2 linked regions of the Saccharomyces cerevisiae S288C genome follow. The gene in region 1 interacts genetically with each later gene. Each region holds a gene or a part of one and is shown on either strand. Other genes may lie near its edges. The genes, in order: PIS1 and TAM41.

Region 1 (3,236 bases):
GACGTTGTGTCCCTGAATTGCACTATAGCTATTGTACCAGCTGGTGGCATGAGCAATCTTTCCAATTTACCATATGGCAAAAACATTTCGCCAAGCTCTTCTCTAGTTGTCCCAAAAGGAAAATTTTTAACCAGTATCACTTTATCGTCTCTTTGATTTGTAGATTTTAACTGTGAAAACTTGGTCAGATCAACACCTTTGGATTCAAAGTATTTTCTAACATCACCAATAACATGGGCTTCAGCCAAAGCTTGTTTGACAGCCGAACTTGAGTTTTCAGCATCGATCAATTGAGATTTTTCTAGACCCAATTTGGCTGCCACACTACCCAAAACAGCATCTTGGTTCATATACAAGGAGTTCCAAGAAAATGTTTGTCTGGATGCAGCTGCCTTCCTTTTCAATTCCTTTTGCTTTTTCAATGGCATATTCTTTAAATCAAACTCATCTAATCTATGGCTTTTTTTTTCTTCACCAGGAAGAATATGCAATAGTCTTCCTTGAAAAATCTGTTTATCCAATTCAACATAGGCGTTCACTGCATTCTTAGAATCCTTAAATAGAACGTATGCAAATCCTTTGGATTGACCAGTCCTGGTATCCAAAGCCACATGAACCTCCTCTAACTCTCCAAATGGACTAAATAGTTTCCTGAAATCTTCTTCTTTGGAGGTATACAAGATATTACGTAAGAATAAACGGCCAGTTTGGTTAATTTTTTCAATAGCCAGTTCTTCGTCCGTCTTTTGCGGCACAGCACGTTCTGGTTGTTCTTCCTTCTTGGTATCGAGACTTTCATTTTGTTCAGTAGCGTATGATGATGATTTTTCCCTTGTTTCCGCTTCACTTTCTTTGATTCTTACACGGCGTTGTTTGAACCAATCTAGGTCAGAAACCTTTTCATCTTGGGCGAGGTTTCTCCTCTTTTCATTCTCTTTTTCATCACTATTAGCGTCATCATTAACTAAACCTATATCAGTATCCTTCAAATTGCTAATACTTATCATCTTTTCTTCCTCTCCGGCATCTTCTTGATCTTCATCCCTGTTTCTGTTGAGAGCCGAATATTCATCGTCACTTTCATTCTCAATGACCAAATTTGGTGCTTCGTCTTTATTATTCTCTTCCTTTAAGGCTAATGCATGAGCCAATAGAGAATTCCCTTGCACGCTGGAGTCCTCTTCTTCCCGTTTTAGTTTTTCGTCCTCTATGCTCTTGTCAATGCCAACTTTTTCCCATGATGTGACTTGTGAGCTTGGCTTCATAGTCTCCATGAACTCTTGTAATTGCTTGTTCTTGCGAATCTCGTCATCAATGTTGCTGTGCTTATTTTCATCCACTTTCTTTTTCTTTCGATTTTCTTCTTGTAGCAATTTTTCTTCCTTTTCCCTAAACCTTTTCAGAGCTTCTCTTCTCTTCTCCTTCATGGGCTGCGGGACTCTTGGGTCTGCAAAGCTTTTAGCCATGGACACTTCTATCTTAGAAGTGTTGATAAAACTGCCATTGAAATACTCTACAGCATCAAAAGCGTCTTCCTCGTTACGGTATCCGATAAATCCAAATCTTCTACTTTCTCCGTTCCTATCTCTAAGAATTTTAACATCTGTTATGAGGTCTGGACCACTACCATTAACTGCTTGATGGGAATGTTTTTGACGTAATCTTTTTGTAAAATGCTCCCTGAGATTATCATCTGTTAGATAGACGGGCAAACCCTTGACAATGATACGGGACATGTTAGTTATGTTATCTTGTGCTTGAGGCTCAAATTAAATCTCAGTTCAGGTTGCAGTCTTTGCATATGAAGTACCGATGAGATGAGATGAGATGAGCTCTAAATTTCCATAAAATTTTTTCATTTTATAAAATTCACGTCGCTCCGCACGTAAATCCCTATTACGGAAATTATTTCTCAATAGGGAAAGCCCCTCCTATTGTTTTTTCCGTCTCGAGGATTTTTCACTTTTAGTATATAAGTAAAACATAAAAAACATGAGAGGTGGTATGGTTTATTTGCCGTCACTGTGGAGCCTTCAAGTAATGTAAATAAGAGGGAAAGTGTGATAGTACAAGATGAGTTCGAATTCAACACCAGAAAAGGTTACTGCAGAACACGTTCTGTGGTATATTCCCAATAAGATCGGTTATGTTCGTGTTATCACCGCCGCCCTTTCTTTTTTCGTTATGAAGAATCATCCTACGGCCTTTACATGGTTGTATAGTACATCATGTCTACTGGATGCGCTAGACGGAACCATGGCAAGAAAGTACAATCAGGTTTCCAGTCTGGGTGCCGTTCTGGACATGGTTACCGACAGATCCAGTACCGCTGGCTTGATGTGTTTCCTTTGTGTGCAGTATCCCCAATGGTGCGTTTTCTTCCAATTAATGCTGGGCTTGGATATTACTAGTCACTACATGCATATGTATGCCAGTTTAAGTGCTGGTAAGACTTCTCATAAAAGTGTGGGCGAGGGTGAGTCCAGATTGTTACACCTGTACTACACGAGAAGAGACGTACTGTTCACTATCTGTGCGTTTAACGAACTATTTTATGCTGGATTGTACTTGCAGTTGTTCTCAAATTCTGCAACCTTTGGTAAATGGACTACAATCATAAGTTTCCCTGGTTACGTGTTCAAGCAGACCGCAAACGTTGTCCAGCTAAAAAGGGCAGCCTTGATTTTAGCAGACAACGATGCCAAGAATGCCAACGAGAAGAACAAGACTTACTGATAGGATGAGTTTCTTACTTTTTTTCTCCTTTTAATTGCGCTAATCTTTTATTTATGTGTAGTTTTTATTTATGTGAAATGGAACATTCGTTGATTTAACTTTAAAAGCAGCCTACTCTATCGTCTTGATTATACTTGGCACAACAAATGCTCAAATAAACGAAAAATTTCATATTGTTGGTACTTTTTCTCAACGCGGTTTTTTTCCTGTTTTTTTCGAGCAGTTCCCGAGGGCATATTTAACATAAGCCAAGGAGAGAGAAAAAACGTTTGTTGGACAGATCAAAAAGAAAAAGAAGAAGACCTCTCCTCTATCTCAAGCTTCTGCCCCCCCCCCCGGAAGGAATTCAAGCACGAAGGTGAACATTGCCTACAAGAAAAAATGGATGTTTTATTGTCGCTTCCTCAACCGGAATTATTTAAGACCACGGTGATTCCGTTCTTGGCAAATCGCAATATAATCAAGTCGGAAGCGATTCTCTCCAACTTGCACTCAATTTT
Region 2 (3,529 bases), on another chromosome or scaffold:
GTCTGGTATCGATTGCAATTGAGTACTATAATAGAGTTCTAGAAAACTACGATGATGGAAAGTTGAAAAAACATGCTGCCTATAACAGTATTATAATATATCAGCAAAGCGGAAATGTTGAGTTGGCCGACCACCTCATGGAGAAGTATTTAAGTATTTGAGAACTTGTTTAAATATTTTAAACTATAAAGTATAATTGTAATATAACCCTTAATAATAGAAATATATAGAAATACCCCTTCAAATGCTACAATGTGTTCGTAAGTACGACATCCATTGCATATACTGGAACGTATGATCCCCCTTCCATAATGCAAGTAAGTCAGTTTGAATGCCAATATGGGATAATGTATATTATCTAGAAGAAGGTAAAAATAAAGATGAATAAATATTGACCGACGCCAGAGATTTGGAATGTGAATAGAGCGATTCTTCGAAAGAGATGAAAGGACGATAAAACATTTTTGATAAAAGATAATGTGTAGATAACATTGGATACACTAGCTTCTCCTCATCGATTTTAGTTTTTTGGCCCAAGCATACTTAATTGACTTTGTGATTCCAGCTGTGAAAACACCTTTAATAGTTTGTAATGCACTTGATTTACTAATACGGCTGAGCAAAAGTCTCTGAGTATTCTTTAATGTGAACCCTTTTGGAAGATAAAATGAATCATTTAGGACCACTTCTTTGTAAATCGGCTTGTAATACTCTTGAAATCTTTCAAAGTTTTTGGTAACAATGTTGTTAACTTTGTCGGGATTTTCTCCACCCAGTTTGTATCTAATATCACCTGCATAACTTAAGGCAGTGATCTCCTTGTAAAATTGGAATTCGTCAAACTTATTGTTATTTTTCTCTAAGGTGTAATGTTTGGCCAAAGTAGCTGCAGCTTTTAAGTTTAATTGGTTCCAATATTGCACTCTCAAATCATTCTTCAATATTTTTACAGGCTTTTGTAGTCGTCCTGCTAAATAGAATGTATTCCAAGTAGCTATGTCCTTTAAAAGTGTTTCCATAGAAACCACCCCATATTTTACGTCGTGTCCATTTATATTTGCAAATGGATTAAAATATACGCCTGCGCCGATCTGTTGAAATTTAGACACGAACTCGGAACCGAAGTATTTCAAACTTGAATAATGTTGCGGATTCTGCCTCATATTAATAGAGTGAAAATGTGATGGATATGTGACGCCCAAGATTATATCGATTTGAGGTTTGCTATGACTTTTGGAATATCCCGCTTGTTCGAAAACTCCTGAGCCGTAACCAAATACAAACCGGCACGGAGCTTTGAAGGATGACATTACCCCATCCAGTTCCTTTTGAAGTTCCTTATCGATAGTAATGAGCTGGTTACTTCCATAGTTGGGGGGCAATCTGTGAAACTTGTACATATAATTTGTAAAATTGGAAGTCATTTCGTCAGTTTTTCTTATACCTTTTTCCAAGAGGTCCAGATCACTGCCTTTAGTAATTCCCTCGATGTAGTGATTCGGCCTTTCGTTAATAGTTCCATCGGGGATAATGCCAGCATCATCTATGGAACTTCTCCCCTCCTTTATTTGAGTACTCAGAAGCCTATTAAACATGCTTACGTTCGTTGAATGGCATTTCAGCAGAAACCGTAGACCATTTTCAGAAACTCGTAACATAACTTCAGGATATATCAAAGTAAAAAGCAGCTCCTATTAATTCAAATTATTAGCTCAATCCTATAGCAACGTTTCTCAAGTTTAATTGTTTTGAAGGTTTTAGAACCTTTTTCACATTATTTAGTCCGTCGAAACATCTACTCTTTACTATTTATGGCTAAACAGGCTGAAGGGTATGATTTCTTTTCTTTTCTTTATTCATGTCGGGTAAGAGAAGGTCACTTGACCTATGATGTGGGGGCAAATAATAACGTGGGAATAACAAGCGCGCTACTGGTAAGTGAAAAACTAAGATAACAGTTGAATTTCGTGTTTAGATGCTATAGAGAGTCTGGTACAGCATTGGCGATTTAAGACTTCTCTAGTCCACATTTCTTAAATTCAAAATCACAAGCGCCTGTTAACGATCATTTTATAATCTACGATGTGTAAATGCAAAAAGTGCTTTCCTCCCTCTTTAGTTTGGACAGGGATAGTGGGTAAACGAGTAGCATTATGAGTGCATACATTGCCAGAAAGAAACCGCAAAGCGGCATATCTTTTTTCTTCTTTCTGTTGTAAGGGATGCTTCGTCACGTAAAATGGCCGCCGGAGTGAGATGTCACAGATTACATCAAAAGGTCGGCGTATACTGGATAAGAAAATCCGAACTTTTCCGGTGGGCTTTACCAGCAGAAAAGTGGCCGGGCATGTATTAAATATATCACCGTATTTTCTGCTGGCTTTTTCTTATGCAGAGAACAAAGGCCAGAGTGCCTTCGAGGAAATTAAAGGGAGCAATGTGATAGATATGTCCTGTGTCATTTGCTTCAATTTTTCCTGCCATTTATTTGTAGTTATATTTATATCTAGATCAACCGAAACTATACCAACGACGAAGCTGCTTCTTAGTAAATATATTTTCTACTGTGTCAACGCATTGGAACTGACATTGTTCTTATCCTATAAGTCATACAGTTGAATTTGTTAATTCTTTACTAGAAGTTGGGATTTTCAGCACTTATGTCACCGTGTTATGGACAAAACAGTGCCATCGCCAAGGGGTCTTGGAACAGAGAGGTTTTACAAGAGGTGCAACCGATTTATCATTGGCACGATTTCGGGCAAAACATGAAAGAATATTCGGCATCACCCTTAGAGGGGGATTCCAGCCTGCCTTCCAGCCTGCCTTCCAGCACTGAGGACTGTTTACTACTATCATTAGAAAACACAATCACAGTTATAGCCGGAAATCAGAGACAGGCTTATGACTCTACGTCGTCTACTGAGGAAGGTACAGCACCTCAATTACGGCCGGATGAAATAGCGGACAGTACACACTGTATCACGTCATTAGTTGATCCGGAGTTCAGAGATCTTATTAATTATGGACGTCAAAAAGGAGCAAATCCTGTATTTATTGAGAGCAATACAACAGAACAATCCCATTCACAGTGTATTCTAGGCTATCCCCAAAAATCGCACGTGGCACAGCTATATCACGACCCCAAAGTACTCAGCACAATTTCCGAAGGGCAAACAAAAAGAGGAAGTTACCACTGTTCTCATTGTTCTGAAAAGTTCGCAACGTTAGTTGAGTTTGCCGCGCACTTAGACGAATTCAACCTTGAAAGACCGTGTAAGTGTCCCATAGAGCAATGTCCCTGGAAAATATTGGGTTTCCAACAAGCAACTGGTCTGAGAAGACATTGTGCTTCCCAACATATAGGAGAGCTTGATATAGAGATGGAGAAATCATTAAATCTAAAAGTAGAAAAATATCCAGGACTGAATTGCCCATTTCCTATCTGTCAGAAAACGTTTAGGCGCAAAGACGCCTATAAGAGACATGTGGCCATGGTGCATAACAACGCTGATTCAAGATTTAACAA

The links.
Region 2: of PIS1 (region 1) and TAM41, extra expression of one is lethal in a mutant of the other (dosage lethality), as found in Saccharomyces cerevisiae (one study listed by BioGRID).

Annotation. Positions count from the first base shown.
Region 1 is NC_001148.4:750,184-753,419, forward strand, and holds PIS1 (CDP-diacylglycerol--inositol 3-phosphatidyltransferase), read left to right. Parts: upstream 1-2,073; coding exon 2,074-2,736; downstream 2,737-3,236. Other genes in the region: RNA-binding ribosome biosynthesis protein MRD1, read right to left, coding at 1-1,736; ALE2 (Ale2p), read left to right, coding at 3,118-3,236. UniProt on the Saccharomyces cerevisiae protein: Catalyzes the synthesis of phosphatidylinositol (PtdIns).
Region 2 is NC_001139.9:583,024-586,552, reverse strand, and holds TAM41 (putative phosphatidate cytidylyltransferase), read right to left. Parts: upstream 1,659-3,529; coding exon 501-1,658; downstream 1-500. Other genes in the region: transcription factor TFIIIC subunit TFC4, read left to right, coding at 1-161; YGR045C (uncharacterized protein), read left to right, coding at 2,257-2,619; RME1 (Rme1p), read left to right, coding at 2,661-3,529. UniProt on the Saccharomyces cerevisiae protein: Catalyzes the formation of CDP-diacylglycerol (CDP-DAG) from phosphatidic acid (PA) in the mitochondrial inner membrane.